4 linked regions of the Tamandua tetradactyla genome follow. The protein of the gene in region 1 binds, or shares a complex with, the protein of each later gene. Links are inferred from orthologs where the notes say so. Each region holds a gene or a part of one and is shown in the gene's direction. Other genes may lie near its edges.

The links.
Region 2: SNRPD2 (region 1) and SCNM1 share a complex: the UniProt entries of both Homo sapiens proteins name them as parts of the minor spliceosome. The link is inferred for Tamandua tetradactyla from reciprocal best matches to the Homo sapiens genes SNRPD2 and SCNM1.
Region 3: SNRPD2 (region 1) and EFTUD2 share a complex: the UniProt entries of both Homo sapiens proteins name them as parts of the minor spliceosome. The link is inferred for Tamandua tetradactyla from reciprocal best matches to the Homo sapiens genes SNRPD2 and EFTUD2.
Region 4: SNRPD2 (region 1) and SRRM2 share a complex: the UniProt entries of both Homo sapiens proteins name them as parts of the minor spliceosome. The link is inferred for Tamandua tetradactyla from reciprocal best matches to the Homo sapiens genes SNRPD2 and SRRM2.

What each region holds. Positions count from the first base shown.
Region 1 is NC_135342.1:15,336,446-15,344,090, forward strand, and holds the start of SNRPD2 (small nuclear ribonucleoprotein Sm D2), read left to right. Parts: upstream 1-4,630; 5' UTR 4,631-4,759; coding exon 4,760-4,761; intron 4,762-6,171; coding exon 6,172-6,351; intron 6,352-7,645. Other genes in the region: QPCTL (glutaminyl-peptide cyclotransferase-like protein), read right to left, coding at 22-121, 223-375, 2,134-2,415, 3,088-3,231, 3,735-3,941. UniProt on the Homo sapiens protein: Plays a role in pre-mRNA splicing as a core component of the spliceosomal U1, U2, U4 and U5 small nuclear ribonucleoproteins (snRNPs), the building blocks of the spliceosome.
Region 2 is NC_135330.1:4,391,535-4,399,038, reverse strand, and holds the start of SCNM1 (sodium channel modifier 1), read left to right. Parts: upstream 1-4,501; 5' UTR 4,502-5,047; coding exon 5,048-5,098; intron 5,099-5,367; coding exon 5,368-5,438; intron 5,439-5,684; coding exon 5,685-5,773; intron 5,774-5,874; coding exon 5,875-5,972; intron 5,973-6,083; coding exon 6,084-6,172; intron 6,173-7,008; coding exon 7,009-7,203; intron 7,204-7,358; coding exon 7,359-7,458; 3' UTR 7,459-7,504. Other genes in the region: LYSMD1 (lysM and putative peptidoglycan-binding domain-containing protein 1), read right to left, coding at 3,992-4,171. UniProt on the Homo sapiens protein: As a component of the minor spliceosome, involved in the splicing of U12-type introns in pre-mRNAs. Plays a role in the regulation of primary cilia length and Hedgehog signaling.
Region 3 is NC_135332.1:22,527,521-22,534,717, forward strand, and holds the start of EFTUD2 (116 kDa U5 small nuclear ribonucleoprotein component), read left to right. Parts: upstream 1-4,187; 5' UTR 4,188-4,398; intron 4,399-7,197. Other genes in the region: Ig-like V-type domain-containing protein FAM187A, read right to left, coding at 1-196; DNAAF19 (dynein axonemal assembly factor 19), read right to left, coding at 1,208-1,660, 2,294-2,426, 2,799-2,941. UniProt on the Homo sapiens protein: Required for pre-mRNA splicing as component of the spliceosome, including pre-catalytic, catalytic and post-catalytic spliceosomal complexes. Component of the U5 snRNP and the U4/U6-U5 tri-snRNP complex, a building block of the spliceosome.
Region 4 is NC_135349.1:54,601,729-54,608,875, forward strand, and holds the start of SRRM2 (serine/arginine repetitive matrix protein 2), read left to right. Parts: upstream 1-4,127; 5' UTR 4,128-4,332; intron 4,333-4,681; exon of another isoform or gene 4,682-4,963; intron 4,964-7,147. UniProt on the Homo sapiens protein: Required for pre-mRNA splicing as component of the spliceosome. As a component of the minor spliceosome, involved in the splicing of U12-type introns in pre-mRNAs.

The sequences.
Region 1 (7,645 bases):
TGCCTCCCCCGTAGCCCTTACCAATGTTCCTCAGCCGATGGAACCAGCGGGCCGTGCGGGGAAAGTGACTGTAGAAGGTTGGGTTGGGGGCGCCCAGGAGATCAAGAAGCACAAAGAGCTCCTAGGGAGAGAGGCCGGGGCTGGAGGGGCCGGGTGCAAAGCCACCAACCCTGCCTCACCCTCTGCCTCCCTCACCGGAACCGGAGTGGGCCCTGGTCTTACGATAGCCTGGATCCTGGTGGGACCGGGACTGTGGGGTTCGGATGCCATGAGCTGGGCCAGGTGCCGGGACCCATAGAGGGAATCCTTGGGCCCCCACTCCTTCAAGGCCTCTTCGCCGTCCAGGAAGAGGAGCTGCAGGGTCACCGGGGCTGCCTGTAGGAGAAGGTATCAGCACCCACCCAGTGCCAGGTCCGCGGCCACAGCCCACCCATGCACCCTGTCCGCTCACAAAATTGAATAGGGCAGACTAGGTCTCCTCACTTGTAGAGCATGGTGGCCAAGGGTACCCGCTCTGAGTCAGACTGCCAGGGATTCAAATCCAGGCTCAGCTGCATATTAACAAAGCAGTCATGGACAAGTTACTGACTTCTCGAAGCCTCGCTTTCTTCACCTGGAAAATGGGGTAAATTCCTAGGGTAGGTTTTGAATCCAGGTCTTAGAACAGTGCCTGGTACATAGTGACTACAAAGGGTTGGCTCTGATTATTATTGTTATTCTTCAAGCTCAGTTTGGCAGACGAGCCAGACCCAATTATTCATTATATAATGAATAACTATACAAACAGTGGACTGCAGCTAGGACAAATGCTGCCAAGAACTACAGTGTCCTGAGAGCTCAGGCAGTGGGAGAGCAGGTTGGGAGAGAGGCCTGACCTGGGGAGGGTTCCTGGATCTGGGGCAAGGAGTTGTGCCCTGAAGGTGAGAGGGAGCTGGCCTAAAAAAAAGTGAATGGGGGAGCAGTGGGAAGAGAGTTCTGGGCAAAGAAATAGCACAGGGCAAGACTGGGCCCAGGGAAGGGGCCAGAGAGGTGTGAGAAGAGGCCAGAGGGATGGCAAGGGCCAACAAGTTCAGCTTGAGCTTTGTTATGGGGGCACTGGGGAGCCAAGGTAGGGATTCGAGCAGGGAAACAATGTGATGAGATCTGTGTTGTCATTCGTTCATTCTACACATCTGTACTGACGTCCTACTCTACATCAGGAGTTGTTCTAGGCCCAGGGAACAAAAGAAGTCAACTCCCTGCCCTCAGGGAGCTCACTCTTGTTGGGGTGATGCCAGGCACTGTTCTAAGACCTGGATTCAAAACCTACCCTAGGAATTCACACCATTTTCCAGGTGAAGAAAGTGAGGCTTCGAGAAGTCAATATGAAGTACAGGATGGTGACAGGGAGGGATTTTAGGATGTCTGGGAAGGCCTCTTTGAGGAGGTGATGATGGAACAGATCCCTGAATGAAGCGAGGGAGCTAGCCAGGAAGGTATGAGAAAAGCATGCTGCAGGTGCAAACTGGAGGGCAGAAGGCCAGGGCATAAGGTCCTATTCACTGCAATAGGAATGTATGCTGGTTACCCGCTACTGTAGGCTCACTGGGTTCCCAGGTCTCATTTAACCCCTATGAGTCGAGGCAGTAGCTATCCCAATTATCTCATCATGATGTTCATTTTACAGATGGGAAAACTGAGGCTCAGAGAGTTGAAGCCACTTAACTCAGGTTCACAGAGCTGGTAAGAAGCAGTACCAGGATTTGGACCCAGGGCTTTCTGATTCCAGAGCCCATTCTGTAATCACTATACTTGAACTGCGATCCTGGCAGCTAAAATAGCAACTGCAAAGGCCCTGAGGTAGGAGTGAACATCGTGGGTTTAGGGGAAACTGAGAAGGCCTGTGTGGCTACAGCAGAGTAAGTAATAGGTGAGGGTGGGAGATGAGATTGGAGAGGCAGCAAAGACTCTGGCTTATGCTCTGAGTGACACAGAAGCCATCAAGAGAAGGTTGGGACAGAGAAGGGACAGGCTCTGACATTCAGCAAGTGGGAGGACCCCTGTGTCCCTGTGCATGAAGGCAAGAAGACCGGAAGGATGATAAACACCCAGGCAAGTGAGGGTGGAGGCAGCCCACCCCACCCCCCTCCTCACCTGCTGCTTGGCCCTGCTAAGCTCCAGGTCAAGGGCCTCAGCCAGCTCTAGCAGCAGGGCACAGGGCACAGCCGAATCCGTAGCCCCCACAAAGGGGGCCAACTCAGATGGGAAGAGCTTTGAGTCATAATGGCAGGCGAGGGTGAGGTGGTGGGCAGCCCGTGGGTCCAGTGTGGCCACCACGTTGCCAAAGTCCACTGGCCCCAGGGGTGTTGAGGCTGTGAAGGGGTCCAGCTCCACATGCCAGTCTGCAGTCAGTGCTAGCAGCGAGGCCTCCAGGAACTAGTGGCAACAGAGAGGCGGGAGTGTGGGTCAGGGGAAGGCCATGACCTAAATCACGCAGAGCAGCCAGACCACCTCATATTCCCTTGAAACACATCTGCTGAGCACCTAGTGGGTGCCAGGTATGGGGCAACCCTACCTTTTGATACCAACAGGATTAATTACTGCCCACTCTTCAATACCAGACCCTATTCTATGTACTCTACAGAACTCTGTGGGGTAGGAACTGACATTGACCCCATTTTACATATGAGGAAACTGAGGCACAACAAAATAAGAGACTAGTTCAAGTTCACATTCCAAGCGGCTAAGCTGGGATTCGAACCCAGACCTGTATTCAGTGATGCCTTACTCTTTCTGGGAGGCAGTACTGGGATATTACAGAGCCAGCCTGCTTCGTTTCAACCCCCAGGACTACCACTTACTAGCTATGGAACTCGGGCCAAGTATATAATCTCTCTGGGCCTCAGTTTTCCCATCTGCATGTGAAGATTGTATTGGTGACCAACTCACTGAGCTGTTGCTTATGCTTTTGATGGGGACGGTACACAGGGCGTTTGAATCGACTCAGATCAGCCCCAGCTCTGCCCCTTAGCTGCTTTGTGATCTAGGGCGGAATGCTCAGTTCCCATTCCCGGGGCGAGTTGGGGACTGGGAGGTGGGGCCCTTTACCTTTCTGACTTGGAGATTGCCTGGGCTGCCCGGGGTTCGCACCACCAGCAGGGGGCGCAGATAGGTGTCCCAGAGACGCTGAGGGTCCAGCTGCCCCACCACCCTCCGCAATCCGGCTTCGGGAAGGTTTCCGATCAGCGGGGTCTTGAGAGGAAAAGAGGGGGTGGGGAAGACCAGCGCGTAAGTGCAGTCCCCACCGAGACCCTAACCCTGGAACCCTGGACATAAGGAGCTCCGGTTCCTCTTCATAATCCTTGGCTCCTCGTGAAAGACTTCTAGGATAAATCCTAGACTCAGGAATATCCCTCGAGGCCCATCTGGTCCAGCCCACCCTAATCCTGGGGGGCGGGGGGGGGGGGAATCAAGGCCCCGAAAGAGAAAGGGACTCTTCCAAAGAGATGACATTGGGATTAGAACCACGATCTCCCAACTCCCAGTCTTATCACTCGCGATCCTTCCTCTTAAGGGAGAACCACAGTTCAAGCCCGAAGCCCGATTCAGCTGGCAAGGGGCATTGGCTCGAATGACGGTGACGGCAGCACCTGCGGCTGCGGCCGGACGATACAGCCACGTCAACCCAAGATCCGAGGAAGGAGAGGCGGAGAATGCGGGGCCCCTGCCATGCCCCAACCCGCGCGGAGCCTCACCCGCAGCTCTCGGCCCAGCGTCGGCTCCCCAGGCCCGCTGTGCCAGCCGCTCCAGATGGTGTAGAAGGCCGAGCCCACGGCCAGCGCCAGCAGCAGGGGCAGCAGCTGCACCCGGGGCAGCAGGCGGCGCGTGGGAGGCGAGGGTGGCTCCAAGAGGCCGCGTTCCCCGAGCCGTAGCCGAGGCCGTCCGCGGCCGCCGGGACGCATGGCAGCTTTACCTGGCAAAGGGTCCAGGACCGCGAAGCTCGTTCAGGCCCAGCCAAGTCCCTTCCCACGGAACCACCGGACCAATGAGCATCAAGAGCGACTGCATCGTCCCACCCCCCGCAGGCAGTAAAGCCAATGGGAACTGCCGTTTTGAGGATGGGCCCCTTGAGGTTTTGGGGTCGGTTCCCTTTGGGCTGCACAACCCAAAAGGGATCGCGAAAGAGGTAGGCTCCGCCTCAGCAGAGGAGGAGAAGCCAACAGAAGAAGCGTTTGATCCTTGACAACATCCGCCCACCTAGAGGCAGGTCCACGCCCCCCCCGGGAGTTGGCTAAGAATTGGTTGCGCGGCGTGGAGGCCATCAACCGAACCGTAAAGGGAGTTTCCGGGAGGGCGGGAGGGCAAGAGGGCGGGGCCCACCCCTGAAGCCGGAAGCGGATTGGTCACGCGGAGGTCGCGCCTCCGAAAGCAGAGCTGGCGGGTATTTGGAATTGGCGTGTCGTTTTCCCCCTTCAATCTATCCTGTCCTACAATGAAATGAATTGACTCGGACCCCCATTATTTTTCTCTGTGTCGTCGAGACCATTTGCCCTTTAGAGCCCTGAATGGCCTCGAACTACTAAACAGGGTTTTAATCCCACCACTGCGCCCGGCGGACGGGGTTTGCTATGGCAACAGGCCACGCCCCTACCGCTGGTTCGCGCAGGCGCCCGTGGAAGTAGGTCGCAGGAAGCGGAAGTCCCGCCTCTCTCTCTTTCTGTCTGCGGAGGGAAACGCAACACGCCTGAGAAGGGAGAGGTTCCAGGACTCACCTACTATCATGTGAGGCCCGGCCCGGCCCGGTCTGGGCGGCGGGAGTGGGGTTGGGGGTACAAATTTGTCTGTTGGGAAGAGCCCTTTTCTGATAGCGAGCTGGGGGCGAAGGTAGAAGTTTTATGGGTAAAGTGGCGTATGTTCCTTCTGGCGAGTTTGAGGATGGGATTTGGGCCTTTTACTGATCATGAGTTCGGGAGAGGAAGCTGCCTTTTCAGATAACAGGCTAGGGACTTTGCCAGATAACTGGACTTGCTAAGATGAATTTTAAGGGGAAGCGATGTTACAGATAAAGGACCTGGGGAAAAGTAAGTGCCGACTTCAAGGAAAAACGATTTGAGGTAAAGGACTAATACTGGAAATTTGACTTTGGAAACAAATGGCTTTTCATGGATAATGAATCACAGGAGTGATTTCATTCATTTATTCCTTCAGCAGATATTATGGGGTGCTCATTGTGTATCAGGCACTGCTTTATACGCCTCAGTGAATAAAATAGAACCCCCACCCCGCAAAAAATTCCCTGTCTCAGTGCAGCTTCTGCGTAAGAAGGCAGGCAATAAATACAGTAAGCAAATAAAATTTAAATGATCAGGGCAGTGAATCAAGAAGCCGTAGAGGATGATAAGAACAATGGGGTATGCCAATTTTGAGAGAAAATAAATTTAATAACTAACACAGAAGACCACATTGGAAAGCTAACAGCAGAACAAAAATCTGAGACAAGTGGGGAAGCAAACCACACAGCTATTTGGGGGATTTCCAGACGGAGGAAAAAGCAAATGCAGAAGCCCTAAGATGAAAGTTAGGGGAATCTCTTCATGGATCACTCAAGAGACCATTGCAGCTGGAGCAGAATGAAAGAGGGGGCAGGTATAGGGCATTGTGAGCACTTTGGAGTTTATTGTTTACACTGAGATGGGAGCCACTGGAGGGTTTCGAAGAGTGACATGGTATAGTTTGTTGGGGACATGGGGAGATGCAGGAAAACCAGTAAGATCTCAGGAGGGCGATAATGGAATTTTAGGCCAGAGTAGTAACCATGGTAAGAAATGTTCAGATCCTGGATATGTTTTAGAGGCAGATGGCAGGATTTGGTGACAGGTTAGATGTAGGATGTGAGAACAAGGAGACAAGTTGACATTCGATTATTTTTCCCTGAGGTATGGAGTTGGGGAAGGCTGTGGATAGAGTGGGTTGGGTGGTTCAGTGGTCTGGAACTCAACCTGTGACATGCAAGGTTGGAAATGTCTGTTAGGGATCCAGGTAGTGATGCTAAGAGGGAGGAGAACTGGAGCCCTAAGCGGGAGAGTGGTTTAGTTGGAACAAGTTTGGGGGAGGTCACCAAGGACAAGACCATAACTACTCATCCTCCACCTCCAACCCCTCTCACTCACGGTCCTGTGCTTGCCCCCTCAGGAGCCTCCTCAACAAGCCCAAGAGTGAGATGACCCCAGAGGAACTACAGAAGCGGGAGGAGGAGGAATTTAACACAGGGCCCCTCTCCGTACTCACGCAGTCTGTCAAGAACAACACCCAAGTGCTCATCAACTGCCGTAACAACAAGAAGCTCCTGGGCCGTGTGAAGGCCTTTGACAGGTGAGCACCTGGGTCCTGGGAGGTGTTCTGTGCAGGCCTGGAGAAGCAGCCCCAGCTCCAGCTGGAGGAATCTGAAGACATGTGCATCTAAAACCCCCATAGTGTGGCTGTCTCTTGTTGCCCCTCCAGCTGTGCAGTACAGTGGTTATGGGCATGCACTCAGGAGCCAGCCCCCACCTAGGTTCCTGTCTCAGTTCTGCCTCTTAGCAGCCATGTGACCTTCATCACATGATTTCATCTCGTCAGCACAATGGCAATAATCATGGTGGTTGCAGAGAGTCAGTAGATTCAAACCAGTTTCTGCCATTTCCAAACTGTGACCTTGAATGAGTCCCTTCATGGCACTAAGCCTCTATTTGTACTCCAGAGACTAGAGATGATAGTAGTATTTCCCTCCTGGGTTTGTGGCAAGGATTCATGGTTAATATTTCTAAAATGCTTAAAGGAGGATCAGGCATATGGTTGGGTGCTTGATAAGTGGTGGTTTATATTTTTGTTATTCTTTTCTTTCTCTTTCTCTCTAGCTTTCTCCTCCTCTGACCCTCAGATCATCCTTCCCTTACCCAGCCTTCACCCCAATACACATTTGTACACCAACACACTCACACGTATATCCGGGGGATCCTTTGTAATGGTAGTTTTTGTTCGTGGACTTAAAAAACAAAAACAGCATTATTGAGACATAGTTGTATATGACAAAATTGTGATTTTCCACGCACTCTTCTGCCTCATTTCTCCCACTCGTCAACACCTAAGGGCAACACTATGAGTAACCTACCCCCACCCTCCAATCCCCTGGCCTTTATTTATTTGCTTATGTTACTTTCTTGCATGGGTAATACATACATGTGAGGCAAAAGTCAACAGCTACAAAGGATGCCTAGCCACCCTCCCCCAAGCCACCACCACAGCTCACTTCTTGGGTCGCCTCTCAGGGATGTTACTTGAAGATGACATCATACACATATGTGGGGTTTTAGCCTTTTTAAAATCACTGTTACTGTCCCACCACGCAGTTCTAGATCTCAGCTTTTTCAGTATTCATGAGATTAATATTAATTTAATATAATTAATTCATAAATGTTTCCATATTGGCACACTGCAGTTCTGCTTTTAACTTAATTTTTCCAAATTGGTAATATATTCACATGACTCCCCAAATAGTAAAGTTCCCATCCTGCCCATCCCCTATTTATCTAGGTCATCCACTGCCACCCTTCTCCAGATGTCTTCCCAGGGTTTCCAAATGTGAAGCAAACAGGTGGGCATTGCACCTGCTCATCCTCTGCCCTCT
Region 2 (7,504 bases), on another chromosome or scaffold:
TGACATCCACCTTTCTGAAAAAAAATTCAGATCAAACCACAAAGCAATCTCACTTATAAACCTCCTATGGTTCCCTACCAGCTAAACAAGAAATCCAAATTAGCATTCAAGGACTTTCTCAATAGAGCCCCTGTAGAAAATGTAAACCCTCATCTCTCTTCTTCTGCCAATACATTTTGTAGTCTCAACTTTGCACTGTTCTTTGAACATTTCATGTTCTTTCACATTTTTGTGTCTTTACTCATAATATTCCTTCAGACTGAAATGCTTCCTCGTAGCCCCTTCTCTGCCTGGAAAACTTCTACTTATCAACTATCACTATCACCGTCTTTGTGATAGTCCTTCTTCAGGGCTCCCAAAGCATCTGTAAGTATTGCTGCAATAATACTCTCCTATTACACAGTTAATCATCTCTGCGTTTTGTCTTGCCTGCCAGCCTGTGTGTCCTCTAAGGGCAGTGATGATAACTTGATGTCTCTATATCCCACGGTGCTCTTCAATGCTCCACAATGCTTGGCACATACCAGGGGCTCATGAATGCTTTATAATAAATAAACCAGATAATAAATAGAGAAACCATAGACATAACCTATCAGTATTTTACTATCAGAAAGTCAGGTTGCCAGTTTTACTGAAAACTCACCTCATATTGGCACCAGTACGGAAAGCATATTTCTTATATTTGTCAAATATCAAAGCTGTTTCCACCCTGGGGGAAGACTACTATAATAAACTTGACCAACAAAATCTTATTCTATTATAATACGTTTAAAAAGAAAACTGGATTAAACTGAACAATTAAAAAAAAAAGTAAAACTGGCTTGTACTTTTGTACTTTAAACTTGCTAAGTGCTTTCATGCTTTTAATTTTAGTTTGTCTAGATAATATCCTAGGTCCCTTCCAGCTCCAAGACGCTATGAGTTACTCTGAATTTTCTGTTGCTTTTATTTTTTCCTGGAAATGTAACTACATGCTATATATATGTTACCACTATTAAAAAGGGGGATATAATTGAGGCCAAAATTTAGCCATAGCCACAGAGCTAGAAATGCCTTTAGAATCTAGTTTGTGTAAAAGAGCAGTTAAAAGTGAAGGTTTCAGAAGGAGACAATTTAGCCTGAACCCTATCTCTACCAATATACTAGTTGCATTGATATATGGCAGGTTATCTTATCTCCCTAAGTCCTAGTTTCCTCAACTTTAAAGGGATAGTTACACCTACCTCACAGAGTCTTACAAAAATAATGAGATAATACGTTTATGAGCTTGACACATAGTAAATAAATGGTAGGGAGATAATAACTTTACTATCATTATTATATATTATATAATTATATATCATTATTTAATACATTTCTTCATTTTACAAATGGTGAAGAAACTGAGGCCTCAGTAAAAGGAAATGACTTACGTGGTCACTCAGCTAGTAAGCAGCAGAATGGGTCTAGAACATAGGACTCTTCTTCCTTAGACTACAGATATTTGCACACTAATGTTCATAAGTGACATAATTCACAACTGCTAAAACATGGAAGCAACTCAAGTGTCCATCGATAGATGAATGGATAAACAAAATGTGGTATATACAACAGAATATTACTCAGCTGCAAAAACAAATGAAGTTCTGATACATGTGACAACTTGGAAGAACCGTGGAGACATCATGTTGAGTTAAACAGGCCAGAGACAAAAAGACAAATATTGTGTGACCTCACTGATATCAAATAATTAGAATAAGAAAACTCACAGAGTCAGAATCTAGAACATAGGTTACGAGGGGATGGGAATGTGGGGGCAGGGTAGGGAATAGGAAGTTAAGGCTTAAAATGTACAGAGTCTCTATTCAGGACGACAGAAAAGTTTTGGTAATAGATGGTGGTGATGGCAGCACAATATGGTGAACATAATTAACAGCAATGAGTTATACATTTGAATGTGATTAAAAGGGGGAAATTTTAGGTTGTATATATGTTACTAAAAGAAAAAAAAATCCATGGCACTGCACAACACAGTAAACCCTAATTTAAACTATGGACTATAGGTAATAGTACAATTATAAAAACGTGCTTTCATCATCTGTAACAGATGTAGCGCACCAATGCAAGGTGTTAATAATAGGGTGGCATAAGGGAATCCCGTATTTGATGCATGATTTTTCCTAAACTCACAGCTTCTCTAATAAAAAGAATATACATATATTTTAAAGTAACATTTAAGCAGAGACCCAAAGGCTGAATGAGAATTAGCCAGGTGAAAAAGAAAAGGGGAATGATAGCAACGATAATTTCTAACATGTATACAAGCATGCATAATTTCCAAAGGTGAAACTGAGAGAAAATTCAGTTTGGCAAAACGTGGTGAGGTTCTGTTGGCACTGTAGGCATGGCAGTTCTTCACTGTGGGGGTGCCCCAGGCAGTGCTGCACGCTTGACACCCCAGGCCCCTGCGCACTAAATGGTGACAACTCCCACTGCACACATTCCCCAATGCTCCCTGGTCATGTAAGGAGAACTGCCTCCAGGGGAGAACTGCTGGGTACATGATCTAGCGTGTGCACACACGAAAGCGTGTGAGACAGAGGGTGGCTAGGGGGACACGGAATGGGAGAAAAAAAAAATTCTCTGATATTTATTGTAAATATTAAATACTAAATGATTCACTGGTGGCTCAGATGCATCTATGCATGGCTTCTAGGCCCCAGCTGAGACCCAGGGGCTGTCCTGTACTTCCATACCAGCTTCCTTTGCTGAGGGCATTCCCTATACTTGAAATATTTTCTTTCCTATACTCCATGGATAGAAATCTTAGCCATATCCATTCAGTCATTCAAAAAACATCTGTTCAGCTTCTATGTGTTGCGCTGTGCCAGACTCTAGGAATATAAGGTTGAAATGGTTTCTACCCTTAAGGAGAGTATAGGCTGCTGGAAAGACAAAGATGGCAAACAACTGGTATTACATAGTAGAGGGGGCCACAGAGGAAGGAACTTCTAAGTCTTTCAAGGTCCATGGTGTTGGCTCCCTGAAAAATCTGCACTAGTGTTCCCCCCCTTGTCCCCCTCTGAATAAAAATTAACCTCCTTTTCTGATTTCCTGCTCTTTATTAAATACCTCTACTAGTTCACAACACAGTCTGCCACCTGCAGTCACTATTTGTGTCCCTGTCCACTTCACATTAGACTGTAAATTACACGATGGTAATGACCACATCTCTCAAGATGGTTACCACAGTGCTTTAAATATATGAAGCATAAAAACAAAGTTGGCTAAATCCAATACTTGTTTGTTAGATTGAACAGGATATGGGGAAAAATTCACCAACTTTAATGTGCTCAAAGTAAGCGCTAAAGGGGAGGGTCTGTGCAATATATTTTTACACTTGTCAAAAATACCCCATACATGACCTGAAATACTTGGGGAAGAGAGTACCTTACCAGAAAGAAGGCAGAGCACGGAAGGAGGGAAATACAGCAAGAAAAGATAAGCACCCAGGAACTTAGAACTAAAAATCAGCTCTCCATTAGCTACTGTAAATATTTAATCACTCTCAATTAAAAAAAAATCTATGTGGTTAATAGCCACAAAAGCTAGTAAGGCTTCAGAGTCAGACAGACCTGTTTGAATTCCAACGCTGACACTCATTAGCTATTTGACTCGGGTCAAACTGGTTAACCAATCTGTCTCAGTTTTGTCATCGGCAAAAAGAGGACAATAGTCGTATACTTGATAGGGACATGAGGATCAAATGAGCCAATGTACGTAAATCAACTAGCATACTGGCTGACATACAGTCGGCTGCTCCTCTCTATCGGGATAGTGGGAGAGGATCTGTCCCGACCAGACAGTGCAACACTGAGAGATGTCAGCAAACGAAAGGATATAGGTAAACAGAACACGAGCACAGCCTCAGTTAGGAAACATTCAGGGGAAGTTCATCTTGAGGAGCCAAAGCATTCTTCTGAGGAATAACTCTCCTAATTGGGAGACTCACCGTTACCCCGTATTTGAGTGCTAGTCCAGCCAGCGTGTCTCCGGGCTCCAGCTGATGCTCCAGGCGTCTTTCTCTCACTGGAGAACAGGCAGACTGCACCAGGCTACCATAAGAACGAGCCCGGCTTCCCTGAAGCAGTCCTGAACCCCCAAGAGGAACCTGTCTAGAGGGAGAAGCCATCTCCTCACCCTGCCGACAGCTGAGTCTGCGACTGAGAAGGCCCGGCTAAATCCAGGGTATTCCTTTCTTCTTCTTTCCTAAATCTTCCCCAACCCACCCCCTCGCCCTTAGCTCCCCTTTATTCCCCCAAACCTCCTCCCGCCTCTGTCACTCCACCCCCTTCCCCGCCCTCTCTCCTTTCAAGCCCCTTTTCCCACAGTCCTAGTTCTTGAATATTCAGTTTCCCGAGTCTCCCTTTAGCCACCCACCAACCTTCGACCTCCCACAAGTCCTCGCTCCACTGACCTCTGACTTTTGAACTCTAGGTACCCTCGCAACACCCTTTTCTCAGTTTGTTCTCTCAGCCGGGCAGCCCGGCCTCCCCCACTGCGGCTCCGCCCCGTCCAGGGGTTGGTCCGTTAGGGTCAGGAACAAATCAGGCCTACTCGGGGTGAGCTGTCGCCACAGACGAAGGGCTTAAGGATGGCGAGCGTTTGTAGTCCACTTCCATTCAGGGACTCTAAGAAGCCAGCTCAGCATCACATCGGTCACACTCTCAAATCCGGGCTCAAGCATCAGCTCCACATCTAGGATCTTGTGCCTCCAAAGGCCTCGAATCTTCCAAGATGCAAGGGCCTTGGTTCCAGCCCTTTGAGAAAAGACTTCATCTCCCGAAAGGCCCCGCGCGTCGGGGGCGCCGGGAGCCAACGCAGAGCCGCTTCCGCCCCCTTCGCCGTCGCGCAGTGCATACAGGGAACCGCGTCCCCGGAAGTCGGGCGGCCAACCGGAAGGAAACCAGGAGAGGGAAAGCAGACACCTTTTACCTGCTAAGATGGCTTGAAAGGTGCGGGTGATGCATTGCTAGCGAGTTTATGGCTGCTGGGACTCACGATAGCGATGTCTTTCAAGAGGGAAGGGGACGATTGGAGTCAACTCAATGTGCTCAAAGTAAGCGCTAAAGGGGAGGGTCTGGAGCAGCTTCAGCCGCCCTCTGAAGTTTTTGAAAGAGCTTTGCCGGGTTGCTCAGGCAGCAGCTCCGGGGACGGGAGGGAGCCAGGCGACTAGAGCTGGAGGTGCACCCCCTTTTCGCCCTTTGATCGCTGTTCTCTCTATGGTCATTATTACCTTTGATTCTTCATCACTATAATTTCCCTTCCATACTTTGTCCTGCTTATTTCTTTGACCCTGTTCGATTTCTTCCCTCGCACCCCCTGCAGAAACGAAGAGTCGGTGACCTCTTGGCCAGTTATATCCCGGAGGATGAGGCACTGATGCTGCGGGATGGACGGTGAGGGCAATGAGTGACGCAAGTCTGAGGTTTCTGCGGTTACAGGTCCAATAAACTGTTGTTGTTAAGGAGAAGACTGGGAGTTACTAGGACTCTGGTGCGGCGTGAGGGACCAGAAGAGATAGGGATATGGTTGGTAAAGATCGGGAAACCTGAGAGTGGCCTATGAAAAGGACTAGTGGGACAGGGTGGAACCTGTAGGAGGAACCCTCCTGATCCAGTTATCCTCTTCTCTCACCTCCCTAGCTTTGCTTGTGCCATCTGTCCCCACCGACCTGTACTGGACACCCTGGCTATGTTGACTGCCCACCGTGCAGGCAAGAAACATCTGTCTAGTAAGTTTGGGGGGAAGACAGGAAACAGAGAGTAGACCCTCGAAATCTCTGCAGGTCACTCTTGGTACATTGCTTGTAATTTCCTTTCCGTTGCTCCTCAGGCCTGCAGCTTTTCTATGGCAAAAAGCAACCAGGAAGGGGAAAGGAGCAGAATCCAAAACAGCAAAATGAATTGAGGAGGGAGGAGACCAAATCAGAGGTAATCAAGAGGTAATCCTAGGCAGGGCTCTGCCACACACGCCAGGCTGGAAAGGCTTTGGCTCCTCTCTAGCTCTGAAGGCTCTGATTCGGTCTCCTGTTTCCCTGCCAGGCTCCTTTGCTGGCCCAGACTCGATTTATCACCCAGAGTGCGCTGCACAGAGCCCCCCACTATAACAGTTGCTGCCGTCGGAAGTACAGGTCTGTGGGATGGGAAAGCCAGAGGAAAATATGGTGATTTGAGGATGAAGAATAGGGAAAGAGTAACTTTGCTATTAGTTCTTACATTTAGGTCCATAATCATTTTGAGTTACTTTTGGGGTGGGGGGTGGGGGGTGGTGCCTGGTCTGGGAATTGAAATGAGTTACTTTTTGTATATGGCTTGAAGTAAGGGTCCAGTTCATTCTTTTGCATGTGGGTTATTCAGTTGTCTCAGCATCATTTGTTGAAAAGACTGTTCTTTATCCACTGAGCATTACTGCATTAGGAAAAATTAAGAATTGAAGAATAACTATGAAAAGTTATTTCACTTCACATTAGTTAGATGGAGACAATGGATGGAAAAATATATATGGTATGGGAATCAGTCTTAAGGCAGGGAGGGACCTAGATAGATGGAAGGCAAAAGGAGATAGATAGCTCTAAAAATATTGTTTTCCAAATTGTATTCTGAGGAATTTGAGAGTTCTAGAGATATTAATTGGTATTTCAGGAAAAAGAAAACTTTGTGATTTTAAATAAAGTTTGGGAAATAGTACTTTGTACTCTTACTTGAGGAATAGTAATATCAGCATATTTTAAAGGCTCTACAAAGTCTTAAAATTAAAAATATATATATTTTAAAAATTTTGTTTACTATAGGCTTTTCCTAAATTCATTTGATTACAAATTCCTCATATGCAGAACACTTATTAATATCTTGAGAAGCAGTTTAGGAACCAGTTGTTTAGGCAACACTGCTTTTAGGGGGTGGGAGTCATAGAAGAGTTGGTCTTTTCCTTTATGGCATTTATATACTTCTATCCTTCTCTCCCTAGACCCGAAGCCCCTGGTCCTTCTGTCTCCTGTTCTCCTTTACCACCCCCAGAGGTTGAACTCCACAGTGGGATAATCAGCAGGCAGCCTGAGTCTGGGGCTGGCCCACAGGCCAAGGAGACAGCAACTGTCTTAGCCCCCCCACCCATGAGCCCCACAAGAAGACGAGCCCTGGATCGTTACCTCACCCTTCGAAGGTGAGTATGCAAAATCACTTTCCTCGGATTTTCTCTTTGCTCTCTGTCTCTCCTTTTTGCACACATACTTGATTGTTGTTTTCTTATCCCCATTAACGACTCAAACTTCCTTTTTCTCATTCTGACCAATTCTGTTTTCTCTGATGTTTTTCCAGCTCTGGATGGATCCCAGATGGACGAGGCCGATGGGTGAAAGATGAGAATGTTGAGTTTGACTCTGATGAGGAAGAACCCCCTGATCTCTCCTTGGACTAACACTGTCTTTCCCCATTTAATTCACAAATAAACTACAACAGGTGCT
Region 3 (7,197 bases), on another chromosome or scaffold:
AGACTACAGCCGGCACCTCCTCAGGCTTGCAGTGACAGGGAAGCTCAAAGCTCATGTCAGCCAGGTAGGCTGCATTGTCAAACATCAAAAAAGCCGGGCAGGGGGTCTTCTGAAAAATGTTCTCCTTCTCCACGATTTCAAAGGCCTGAAGACTTCCCCAGACCCACAGGAGCACGGTGGTGTGGGCCAGGCTCATGCCTGCAGGAGAGCAGGTTCAGAGGGGGAGGTGCAAAACCAAGGCACTAAAGGCCCTGTGGCATCTAAAAATCCCTGCTGAGAGCAGGGGCAGATGGGAGCAAAGGATTACTCAGCGAGGAAAAAAAAACTACACTCTGTGGAGGAAGTGGCCAAAGCCAAGGCAATTTATTCCCAGCTGATATACAAAATGGCCTTCAAATGTTCCAGACCTGGTCTCATGAGGAAACCATTCTAGAACCTGGCCTTCACTCGCCTTTCTAGAACTCTGGCACTCATCCAAGAATGGGTCAGGGGAAACCAATGAAAAGCAAGGGCCCAGTGGCTGGGATGAAAAAATTTCTGCCTCACTCTAGGCTCTACCCTGCCCTGCCTACTTGGTGGAAGGGTCTTCCTTTCTGTCAGTCTGAGAGATGAAGGAAATCCTCATGCCACCACACATGGCCATCTGAAGAAGTCTGGGGGGCTGGCCAGACCTGAGCTCATAGCTTGGGACTTTCCCAGGACCAACCTGCAAAGAAGCCCAGTCCCTGGGGAGAAATGCTACACCCTAAATGAGGTAGCTTTTGATCATTTGTGGTTGTAATAGCCACTCATTGGTTTGGGGTTATAAATATTCTTATTAAGAGCGGTGGAGATCACTTATTTACTATGAAGGATTAAGGATTTACTTTCTCTTTTTTTTGAGTGAAGAGCATTATTGATGTAGCCATCTCTCAGAGCCAGGGGAAGCTGGGAGAGGGGATAAAGGCTTAGATAGGTTCTAAAGGTGGGAAGTAAAACTGCTTTCAAACTCTTGGGCCATTGACTACCCTTTGGATCCAGAGTTCCAAACATGGAGCCACTAGGGGTTAGAGAAGTGGGAAAGATCCGATTCCTGCTCTTGCTCAGAAAATTCCAAGTTGAGAAGGGCATTAGGGGTGAGTTTCTCATTGCAGTCCTGCAGAGCCCCCAAGACAACAACAAAATGCCTTGAGTGGTCTCTGGGGGCCTCTGAGAGCAGATGGTCCTATCAGTCCATCTGGTACAGTCCCAGAAGCTCCTGCAGGAGCCTCTCTTCATCTTGGGGCCCTTCAGGTTGCTCCTCCAGACCCTGCTTCTCCTGGCTGAGCCTTTCTTTCATGGGACTTGGGGCACCCATGGCCTGAAGCTTCTGAAACAAGCTTCTGCAGCTCTCCTTCTCTGCATGGCTCAGCAAGCTCAGGTTTAAGGTGAAGCGTCCAGTACTGGCCAGACTGCGCAAGATACCCAGTACTGCCACCCTGTCAATTGGCCTCATGTGATCAGCCAGGGCCACCAACAACTCCCCTAGAAGTCCAAACCCTACATCTGTCTGGAAGAGGTGACCCAGCTTGGGACCCCCAAGCTGTAGCAGGACCTGGTAGCGCTCTGGTCCACTCTGCAAGTATCGTCGCCAATTGCGGTAGAACTCTGCTGAGGTCTCAGGCTGGAGGAGTGTTTTCTCCTGGATTACAAAGGAAAGAAAGAGAGTCCAGAGCTTGTCCAGCTGCTCTGGGGCAGTGAGAGGGAGGGAAATTGCTACTCTGATAGTGCTATCTGAGTACTGGTTGTGGTCCCTATGGGCCTCATTTTCAAATGCGGGAGCTGGGACAGGAAGGGAGAGCCCTCAGTTGTATAAGATTTTCCCACTGATGAATGGGGACATGATCCCAATCTAAGAGAGTAAGTCATGGTTTACTGTGACCAGGGTGTAGGGGATGATTGGAAATCTCAAGAAGAAGAATGAATTCGAGGTGAGTATCAAGGATCTGACAGACTAGGTCTCCCTCTCAACACTGCCAAAAGATCATTATAGTATTTACAACCTGGAGGCAGAGAAACTCCAGCCTTATCTGGGAATGAAAGTCAAAGGACTGACAGAAGGGGACCTGCGGAGCCCAAATTTCTGACTTGACCTGCCGAACCCAACTTGGCCCCACCATCCTCTGGTTGCTTTCCTTTCTGGGATTAGAGGCAGAAATCTGTCTCTGTTGTCCTTACACTAAAAATAAGGAATAGGTATGTGTTGTAAGAAGACAGGATTGCATGTTCAGGGCAGAGAATTTTGCTGGGCTGAAGAGGCTGGGCCCACCCCTACCTGTGAGATTTCAGTAGCCTCATCCTGGGAGGTATGTCCCGGAGTTGTGTGACAGTTCCAGGACACAATCGCTTTTCCTCTCATCTTGTCTTTTCGCTCCAGAGGCTTCAGATGGGAGGCAAGGACAATACCCCTGTGGGCAAAGGACAGAGATGGAGGAATGGATGTAATGCTCTGTGAATGGAAGGTAGCTGGGCTTGGCTCACTACAGGCTGAATCTGTTGACAAACCAACATAACAATAATGATAATAGTAACAGCAACAATAGCCAAAGGTTATTGAATACTTCTTGTGTGTCTACTGTGCAGCAACTCATTTAATCGATACAAGGGCTACTCTCTTTGAAAATTGAGGCCCAGAGAGGTTAAGTAATGTGCACAAGATCACACATCTAGTAAAAGGTGAGGCCAGGAATGAAGCCCAGAACTGTCTGACTCTAGAGTCCCTGTTCTTTTCCACTATTGTTACCATAAGAGAGGCCTGAGAAAAATGACAGTGAGTCAACCTGAATTCCTCATACGTAGTCACCCTCTGTTCCACTGCCCTTAACTTGGCAGCATTCTCCCGCTTGTACTTCTCATCAGCAGCAAGTGCAGCCTGCAGCTCTTTCTCCAAAGCCTTGAAGTTGATGACATCATTCCTTTCCATGGCTTGTACCTGGGAAGGCAAAGAAAATGGATATTAGCAGAGGGTCAATATAAGGGAATGCTGGGGCCTCTGGATTCTTTGCCATCCCACAAAATGATCCAAAAGCACTCTGGGAATCATTAACTTACCTTGTATTTATGTGTGTGTGTGTGTGTTGAGGGGCAGTAATACAAAAATCTAGTTTTCTGCTTTACAAGGAGGGGAACTGAATAGCAGAGTAGGGACTTGCTAAAGACTTGTCACTAAAAATAGAACAAAGTTCCAACTTTCAGTTTGGAGCCCTATTAATTTTGTTCTCTGCCTCTAAAACTATCTGAATGTTGAGTGCTTTGTCTGAGGAGGCATTGGATTTCAGAATTCAGCCCCTCCAGTCTTCCATATGGGTAAATTTTTGGGATGGACCACTTCAACTAAAAAAAGAACTATTAACTACTCTTGAGCCTGGGGTAAGATTTCACCTTTCATGAAATACTTTAAATAGGGAGGGGCATTTTTCACCCAAACTAGATGCCATGACTGAGCAGGAAATCAACACATGGCAGAGAAGTGGCTCAATGATCCCCGCCTCTGGCCAGTCAAGGAGGAGCACAGGTTTCTATGTTCTCAGATGAACTCTTTAATTCTGCCACTCTGATTCTGCAGCCTCCACGTACCTTTGGCGGATCGATTCTTTCTACAGGGAAGTCATCTATATGGATTTCTACCGGGAAGTCATCTATATGGATTCTAGTTTTGGTTTCAACATTTACTTGCTTGAGATCTCTCTGAACCTCCTGGTGAATTTTGTGGCGGAGTTATCAACTGTCCTGAGGCAGACAAGCAGGAGGTCCTCATCCAACCCCACGGCTACTACCCCCATCCCCAGCATGGGTAAGAGAAACGACAGGAAAGGACCAGAGTGAGCTAGAAACTCAACTCAGGCATCTTGACTCCTTCCCAATCTATCTATCTATTGAACAGATAGAACAACTAACCCTTCCACTTTTAACCCCCGACTCAGATCCCGGAACTTTATCCCGCAGTTCAGGCCCTAGACGCCTTGCTTTCTTTGGGGTTACCCTGATAAATTGGGACAAAAGAGCAACTCAGTGCAGATCGCGCCCAGCAGCTGTGGTTGCCTAGCAACTGCTCCACCAGCCTGCCCACGTGATCCGCCCGAAGGCCCCCTTTCGGGGTGGTCCATAGGCGCCTGCTCTAATTCACGCCTACTCAGGACTTACTCTCTGTGGGACAGTCCACGCTTTGTTGTGGGGACCCACGACTCTTCCTCGCAGGTTTTTGTCTCCGCGGCCGGCGCTATTCCGAGCCAGTCCTCAGGCGGAGGGTTGTCCTCCCGGCAGAAACGCGACTAAGGCGTCTATGGGGTCCTTCCCAACGCGGGCTCAGGTGTCGCGCGGCGTGGGACGGAAGCGCGGCGGCCGGCGGCTGGGTTAGGACTCTTGGCTAGCAGGCGGCAGGTGAGTTGATGAGGGTCAGTGGTATGGAAACGTTGCTCCGGGTGGGATGGGAAATTAAAGAACGTCAGATCTGGAGTAGGCATTATGTGCTGTCTGTTCTTTTACTTTACATGTGGGGAAATTGAGGCCTAGAGCAGGAAAGGAACATAGGGACCACTCCAGAAAGGCCTTTTCCCCACCCCGCTCAGATCCCTGAATTCCCTCGATATAGTCCATCCATAAAATTCCGTTCCTGGCAGGGGTCGTGCTCTAACTGCTTAGCCTTCTCACATACTCCCACTTCTGGACCGCCTTCACCTCTTCTTTACCAATCTGCTTTCCTCTTTATTTGATTTTTTTTTTTTGAGAATATGCTTGATAGCGGGAAGCTGCAGTGAAGACCGGCGCCAAAAGTCACTAACTAGCTTTGTGCAACTGAGGAAGTCACCTAGCTTCTCTGTGCCTTGGTGGAGTCATTCATCAGTAAATATTTATTGAGGGTCTCTTTTGTGCCGGCACTGTGATAAAGGAGAAAACAAAGTCTTTGCTTAGAGTGTAGTAGAGTCAGTGAACGATAAACAGACGAATAGATGTGAAAGTCAGCTTGTGATATATATTAAGGAAATAATAAAACAGTTTAAGTGAGGGGCAGAGAGTGGATATGTGGGGGACTTTTTCAGAGTGACAAGGGAAGATTTCTCAGAGAAGGTGACATTTTGATAAAGACCTAAAGGAAGTGAAGGGAAAAGGCATAAATATCCAACAGAAGAGCGTTCCAGACAGACGGAATAACAAATACAGAGGGCATAGCAAATACAGAGGATCTGAGGCTTGTTCTGTAAATAGCCTTGTATAAGAATCTCTTGTCACTTCATGAGATCTTGGGAGGATGACTTGAGCACAGATGTGACAGCTCTTTGGAAGTAAAAAAGAGTACGTGAATACAAATGCTTTCCTAATATTTACATTTAATTAATGGTTCACAGGACTCAATTCTCTATTTCATCTATGGTCAGCATTGAGGAGGTAGTATTGAGGGAGATGGAAGGATTAACCTAATGCAAGAAATATCAGTATCTCAAAGTTGGGCATTCTATATAGTTAACATTTATCCCACCCCTACTTATGCAAGGTGCTGTCTAGGGCATTTATAGGTAGACACAAGGAGTATAGGGTCCCCATATTCAAGAATGTCCAGAAATAATGATAACTGTGCTGAATTCTGTGTGCAAACTGTTTTGTTTAATCCTCACAGCACTACACAGTGGGAATTATTCACTCCATTTTCCAGTTGAGAAAGCAGGTTTGGAGAGGTGAAGTAACTTATCTGAAGTCACTCAGTTTTTAAGTGACAAAGTCAAGATTTGAGTCTAGATCTTCCAATTCCAGAGCCCTGTTAAAAATGCTCTTCTGTGTTGTCTATTACTTGTAAATTTTATGAAAAAAGACTTGAACAGACACTTCTCAGAAGAGGAAATACAAATGGCCAAAAGGCACATGAAGAGATGCTCAACGTCCCTGGCCATTAGAGAAATGCAAATCAAAACCACAATGAGATATCATCTCACACCCACCAGAATGGCCATTATCAACAAAACAGAAAATGACAAGTGCTGGAGAGGATGTGGAGAAAGTTTAGAGTTCTCAGTGAGACTAGTTAGCAGAATTAAATGCTGATAAAGGTGCAAAGTGCTGTAGCAGTGTAGGAAAGTGAAAAATTGACTCACTATAAGGAGGGCATTTGAACTGTCACTTTGAATAGAATTTCAGTAATTGACGTGGAAAAAAGCCACAAAATACTTATTAATAACAAATGGAAAACTAGTCATTTTACGATAGAAAAACCTGACCGGCACCACCTTAGTCAGTTAACATCACCTCTAAAGGGGCCATTTGAAATCATGTGCCACTTGACAAAATGTACGGAGGAGAACATGGTATTACTTCTGTGGTGTTCCTGCCAAAGATTCATAAACTAAATCTAGTTACGAGAAATCATCAACAAACCCAAATTAAGGGACATTTTACAAAATCACTGGCCAGTAATCCTATCAGTGTCATGATCATGAAGGTCAAGGAAAGACTGAGGAACTTGTTCCAGCTTGAAATAATAGTGGCATCGCAACTAAATTCAACATGTGATCCTGGATCAGATCCATTGCTGTGCAGGATGTTATTGGAAATATGTGAAACTTAAATGGAGTCCTATGAATTAAATAGTAGTAATGTGCCAAAACTAATTTTTTTTTGTTTTTTATTTTGGTGGTTGTAGTGTGGTTATACAGGAGAATATCCTTGTTTGTAGGAATCATACACTAAAGCAAGGGGGTTAGCAAACTTTTTTGGTTAATGATCAGAAAGTACTTATTTTAGGCTTTGTGGATCATATAGTCTCAGTTGCAACTATTCAACTCTGTTGTTGTAGTGTAAAGCAGCCTAAGACAATATAAATGACTGCATGTGACTGTGTTAATTTATTTATAGACATAAATTTTGAATTTCCTCTCATTGATTTTCATGTACCACACACTATTCTTTTAATTTTGTCAATCATTTAAATAAGTAAAAAGCTATCAACAGATGAATGGATAAAGTGTGGTATATATATGATAGAATATTGCTCAATTATAAAAAGGAATGAAGTTCTGATATTTGGTACAACATGGATAAACCTTGAATACATTGTGTTGGGTGAAATAAGCCAGACACAAAAGGATAAATACTGTATGATTTCACTTATGTGAACTAACTAGAATATGGAAATTCATAGAGACAAAGCTGATTATAAGTTCTGGAATAGAAGTGGGAAATGGGGAGTTA
Region 4 (7,147 bases), on another chromosome or scaffold:
ATAATTGGCAGGCAACTTTTTCTGGCAGGAGTAGGGATAAGCACTTCTTTTTGTATATTTTAGGATTAAGCAAATAACTTTGCATATCCTGGAAAAGCAAAGCAAGGACTCTCACAGTTGGAAAAAGGAGTTAACATGGAGAGGGGAAAGGACAAAAGGGATCCTGCAGTACTGGACAGCATGAACTAACGGATAAAGTTTATCCATTTCCCAAGCTCTGTCCTCAAAGACGGCCCAGAAGCAATGACACCCTAGTAACAGTTAAGCGCACAGAGTAGGCAGATCTTGGTTTCTAAATAAATTCTCCTCTGAACACTGCTTTTAACTACAAAGGGTAAATTAGTAAATTTTTTTTTCTTTGTACACTGTATGGTGGGGGTCACATTTTACTCTTTTTCCATGTAGGTATCCCCTTATTGCAGCACCATTTTTTTGATTTTTGGTTTTTTGCTTGGTTTTTGTTTGTTCGTCATTTTTGGGAAGTGCATGGGCAGGGAATCGAACCCGGGTCTCCGGTATGGCAGGTGGGGATGTTACCACTGAACTACCCTTGTACCCCCTAAACTAGCGATTTTACAGCTAGAAACCTGGTTGTCCCTCTGTCAACCTAATGAGCAAAATCAGCGTTGGCAGTAAGGGGCAGCAATGGGCAGCACCAGCCTCCTGACATCATGTGCTGTGAAGAACCAACATCGCTTGTGTGGGATTCCTGCCACAAATGCATAACCTGGATCATGATGAAACCTCAGACCAACCCAAACGGAGGGACAGGCTACCAGATAAACGGCCTGCACCCTCCAACAACGTCAACATGATAAATTAAAACGAGGAGTCAGAATTACTCAAGGTTGTACTGGTCTAGGGAATCTAACTGAATTCCATCCAGGCACCACCCTGGACTTCCTTTTGCTATAAAGGGCTTTTTGTTACCAGAACTGTTGACATCTCCATAAGGTCTGGAGATTTGATAATAGCACTGTTTCAATGTACTTTCATAATTTTGATTACTGGATTGTGGATATTAACTGTTCTCCCCAGGGGAAACGGGGTATAGGAGACAGGATTAATATAAGACTTGTGGAACTACTTGGGAGTAGATGGCATTAGTGTGGTGGTGGCAGTAAACTGCTTTATGTTATCTGATTTATGTAAGACAGTTTAGGAGGAAGAGAATGTTTGTTTACCCCAAATGGTTATTTTAAGTACGAAGGAAGAACACTGAAAGATAAGAACTTTGTTCCCTGGGGAAATGCATGCATGCCTATTGTCATCCTGTGGTATATAACCAGGATCTGGTTAAGAATAAAATTGCATTTATCCACTGTTGGTGGGAATGTCAAATGGTGCAACCACTGTGGAAAGCAGTTTGGCGGTTCCTCAAAAAGCTGAATATAGAATTGACATACGACCCAGCAATACCATTGCTAGGTATCTACTCAAAGAACTTAAGGGCAAAGACACAAATGGACATTTGCACACCAATGTTTGTAGCAGCGTTATTTACAATTGCAAAGAGATGGAAACAGCCAAAATCTCCATCAACAGAAGAGTGGCTAAACAAACTGTGGTATATACATATGATGGAATATTATGCAGCTTTAAGACAGAATAAACTTATGAAGCATGTAATAACATGGATGGACCTAGAGAACATTATGCTGAGTGAGTCTAGCCAAAAACTAAAGGACAAATACTGTATGGTCCCACTGATGTGAACCGACATTCGAGAATAAACTTGGAATATGTCATTGGTAACAGAGACCAGCAGGAGTTAGAAACAGGGTAAGATAATGGGTAATTGGAGCGGAAGGGATACAGACTGTGCAACAGGACTAAATACAAAAACTCAAAAATGGACAGCACAATACTACCTAATTGTAATGTAATTATGTTAAAACACTGAATGAAGCTGCATCTGAGCTATAGTTTTTTTTTTGTTGTTTGTTTGTGTTTTTTGTTTTTTTCCTTTTTTATATATTTTTTATTTTTATTATTATTTTTATTTTTTCTCTATATTATCATTCTATATCTTTTTCTGTTGTTTTGCTAGTTCTTTTCCTAAATCGATGCAAATGTACTAAGAAATGATGATCATACATCTATGTGATGATATTAAGAATTACTGATTGCATATGTAGAATGGAATGATTTCTAAATGTTGTTAGTTAATTTTTGTAATTAATAAAAAAACTTCATTAATAAAAAATAAAATAAAATTGTCTGAAGTCTGTCTGAAGTAAACTCAAGCTTCAGACCCCCTGAGCCCGTCTGTGTCTTTCTTTCTCTCCTTCTTCCTTTCTTTCTTTCTCATCATTCCTTAATATCCTTCGAGCTCCGTTTCTACAGGAAGCAACAACGGCGAGCAACACCCACCGCATAGGGTTGTCCTGAGCATTAAACGAGCTGATTCAAGCACAGAACTCAGCCCCAAACATTCAATAAATAGAGGGAAGACTCTCACGGGACGCTGGGTGTCAGGGAAGGGTTTCACTGGGAAGGTGGTTGGGGAGACCCAGGGCCTGGGCCCCACCTCCGTTCCGAAGGGGAGTTAGGCACTAGCTGCCTACATGACGCCCCCCTCAAGGAGGAAAGACGGTACAGATGGCATCACACGCCGCTTACCTTGTGAGGGCACTGAAACTCCTCTTCCCCAGCACGGTAATAACACATCTCCACACCCCTGTGCCAGGACACCTGCTGAAGCTCTGCTCCTACACCCCACGGAATGTCTCTGTCCTAAACCCTCACAAGCTATCCTTTGCACCCCTCAACCTCCCCGCAGGACACCGCCGTCAAGAAGAATCTTCTGCTAAGAAGTCATGTCTAAACCCCGTGCCCGGTGTGCTCTTTCGGGTTGAGAATGTGCCCACCCCGGCTCCTCAGGAGTTGGGTTGGAATACTTCTTTTTAAAACCCCCCCACCCTCCAGCCTCCAGCCTCCACCTCAGGAACGCCAAACAGCTCAGGCCCAGGAAGACAAAAGCTTTCCATAGCCATAGTTTCCCTGAGGAGCGTCCAGCTCAGGGACGCACTGGCCAAAGGCCACGGCTCAAAGAGGTAGGATTCAGGGCAATTCCCTGCAAACTGAAGCCACAGCTCCCATGCAAAGTCAAGATCCCCAGTGCCGAGGCCGGCGACGAGCGTGTCCTGTGAGCAAGGATGTTCTCAAAACCTGCGTGTGGGATGGCGACCGTAGGCCCTAGGAAGGGGGTGAGGACACTGGAGAGAACCAGGATAGCCACAGGCGGTGGAGCCAGATTTAAACTTTGGCCCGTCTGAAAAGCCCAATTTCTTATATCTCTGCTCCAAGAGACTGGCTGCTTCTTGGGATCAGAAAAATGGATTTAATTTTTTAAGGGGGAGGGGTGATCATAACTTTTTCTTTTCCTGTCACATCTCCGTGTGTATACATTTACGTCTAACACGTTCCAAGTTAAGTAAGAGAAAACTGCATCTCTGCCAGGTCGCCTTACTAGGGGATAACCGAAAACTATCTCCGGGGGCAAGCTGCCACCTTTCCGCGCGGTCTGCACGAGTGAAGCCTGCGACCACCACCAGCATAGCTCGGCCTGTGTCTGGGCCAGGGGGGCCCATCGTCCGGGGTCCGGGACGGCTTTCCCCGGAACCAAGGCTGGGAGCCGCATGGACGCCAGCGCGCCCCTCGAGCCCGCACTCACATGGCAGGAGCTTTGTTGCGGGGCTTGAGCCATCGCCTCCCAAAATGGGGAGACAAGATGGCGCCCGCACCCCTGACCGACGCTACATACGGGTTCTTCGCCATGCAAGAACTACAACTTCCAGAATGCTCTGCGGCGGAAGGCGGGCGGCCGAGGAGCGCTAGAGCGACGGTCGAGGTGGCGCTCAGCTGTGGGTCGTTCTCCCCAGCAGAAAGCCTCCGGAATACGTTACTCGCTCCGGCCGCTCCCCCCACCTTCCTTGTATTGGCCGACGGGACCCGCAGTTCTCGGTGACTCGCAGCCACGAGTCACCACTTTCGGGCCTTAAGAAACCACACTTCCCGGTGTGACTTTGGCGCCTGCGCAAAAGTGTGCAGGGCATACTACGATTCCCGGCGGGCCCTGCGACGCGCGCGGCTGCGTGCTGACGCGCTTAGTCAGGCGTGCTGACGTGCAGCGCGGCCCAGGCGGGGAGCGAGTGGCGCAGTCGGAGCCTGCTGCGGCCCCTGAGGAAGCAGAGAGGCGTCGGCGTCGGCTGAGGCGGGCGGATCGGCGGGTGTAGGCTGCGGCTCCAGGCCCCGAGGGACTCGAGAGCTCAGACAGCGGCAGTACCTCTCCCCCTCGGAGGCGGCGGGCGGAGGAGGCGGCGGCGGCGGGTGAGAGGGTGAGGGAGCGCGCGGACCGGGTGGGGGAGGGGCAGCCGCACGGCGGCCCCGGCGCGAGGCCAAAGCGCGGGGAGAACGGCCTAGGCCGTTTCGCGCACGCGCGTTGGATGCTCCTAGCTCGCGCGGACGCCCTCGCTTGCCTGCTTCCCCTCCCCCTCCCTCGGTTCTCGTAGCTCAAGGGCTTCTCTCCCTTCCCCCATGGCAACGGCGCGCGCCGCCGGCCGCATTCGGGCTCGCGCGCGCCCCGTCTTCTCGCCGCCCCCGGTCCTGGGGCCGCCGCTGTTCATTTCGGCCTTTTTTGGGGGGTGGGGTGGGGTGGGGGGCGGCCGGGAGCCTTCTCCCGGGCCTTCTCTCCGGCGATCTCTCCGGCACTGGGCTTCCCCGTCCCTCTCGGGGGCCTGTTGGCAAACCCGGAGGCTTCGTTGGTCCGGCTCCTCCCAGACTGCGGGGCGCCGCGCAGCCCCCTCCCCCATCCCTCAAGGCCGAAAATAGGCGTGCGCGGCCCAGCTAGTTCAGGGAATGCCTAGTACTAGATGCCCCCGAGATTTAGGCATCTTGAAGTCGTTTTATTAGAGGATTGAGGGTGGGACCTTTAAAAAAAATTCCTGCGTATTCAGCCTAGGTATGTAAGGTATTATGTGTGCTCTTTTTTTCATATTTTCATTATCTGCCCCCAAATCGTTAAACCTAAGGAGACTGTTGGAGCCCTTCGTTGGAAATAAAACTCCAGACCTAGAGACTTGGCTTCCTGTTTCAAGCGCTCTTTGGGCCGCAATTTTTTTGAGCCCTGGTTTCCACATGGCGTCTCTGAGATGTCCTTTAGATACAAAAAAATTCAGAAGAAATCTATTTTGGGGTCTTCCGTGTTAGTTGTGTGGGTTTAGGTCTCTTCCTGAGATCACAGTTTACTTTTCTGAGTTCCATAGTGTTTATTCACCTATTACAACGTCCCAGCCCCGGTCTTGCCATGTTACCTATGTGTCCCTGTACACCTTCCCTCCTTGTGGTGCTATTTCATTTTTTGATTTTTAAATTTCGATATTCCCGTCTATCTCCTGATTTGGGATCCTGATGATTTTCCCATAGAAGAATGTCTCTTTTGCCTTCCTTTGCAGTTTGATTTAACTTTCTATTTTTACATCGGATCATCTGTGCATGCCCACAGTCTTTGGACCCCGGTTTAAAATTCCTGTTTTATGAAGTTCCTTCTCCTGCTTGGTCCCTTCTTTTAGTGTTTTGAGAACCTCCTTGGTTGCCCTGGTGTTTTTGTTTGTTTTTTTCTCTTTTGTTTCGTTTGATTTGATCGTGTCCTAAAAGTTCTCCAATTCATTGTGACTAAATACCCTTTGCTTGGCAGCTACTAGTTTTTTCTCCCTGGGGAGTGGGAGGATTTTTGTGTGAGGTGGTGTGGAAGTGCGGGTGAATGGTTAAGTAAGCTGAAGAATGGTCAGAAGCATTGTGTGGGGGAAGTGGAAAGTTAGGTGGGGTGTAGAGAGGCAAAGAGGGCTTTAGAGTGGGGAGGATTGGTATTGGAAAAAAACGAAAGTGACAGTGGGAGGGTACAGTAATAGCTGATTTCTTGGGCTATAAGGAAGTTTTTTCATTTTCTTGGGCCTTTCCACTTGCCTTTTCTAGATTTGGCCTCATTTGCCACTCCCTTACCTTTGAAAAAAGTTATTTTTTGAAAGGCGTTATACCTATCTTTTTCTGCTTTTAATTCTGTCTTAGGTTTTCTGCTGGGGTTGGGCAGGGAACCGGCCTTAGTTTTATGGGGTAAATTGTTGTGAAACTGAGCTATCCATTCTGTTCGTTCAGAATCGTTCCATGCTTTTTTTTTCTTTTTCCCCTAGTATATCTGTTTGTATGATGCTCCTTTCCTTTTATCTGATTATTTCTGTATTCTTTTCTTTAGCCGTTCCTTGGGTCTTTTTCTCATACGCTCATGCTCTGTGAAATTGTCTTGGAGAGGATGAGTGGGAGAAAGGAATGGAGTGTGTGGAGTCACAAAATCTAACTGGAAAAACTGGGACTCGATGGTTCTTCAGGGTCTTGTTAGTGGTGGGACAAGTTGAAAGAATAGAACGTGGTGGGAGGCATGGGATTAACATGACAGGGAGAAGACAGGGCTAGGAGAGAAAACTAGAAAGTGAGATACAGGGGTTTGGTAGGGAAAACCAAGGACAGGTTGACTAATGAAAGTGAGGTATAGAGAGGGAAGGTCTTTTGAGTAAGCTTATGAGGCAAGGAGTATAGTGAAAGGTATGGGATGAATTAGAACAGAGAAGGCTGATTTGATGAATTTAAGTAGAGCTCTGAGTTGAAAACTAATATTTAACAGGAGTTAGCATTGAAGGAACAGCATGCTGATCGTGGGAATTCCTCTTGGGAAAAATATTGAAGGAATGAAATATTCAGATAGTTTTTAGGAGCTGTGAATGTTTGGAACCAAGGAAAAGTAGCCGTTTACTAGGAGGTGAACGAAGTATAAGGGGTTTAGCCAAGGTTTATGTAAGTTTCTGAGGTACATGTTGGATTTTAGTCTGGGTGTGAGGCTTCACAGGAAACTTGATTTCTTTTAACCAATTAGTCCACTAGTTTAGATATCTAGGGGCATTTTAGTCCATTTTGTGTTCATACGGGTTGGCCTGGACTCTTGGAAGAGTTTTGGAGCTTGGACCACAGGCCTTTGGGTGCCTCAGATCTCTCTGGTGTTCATTGTGCCCCATTTGAGGCTTCAGTCAGTTACTGGCTAGGAAGTCCAGTAGTTGGAGAAGGCACTATTTGTGCTTATTGGGGCCAAAGGAGG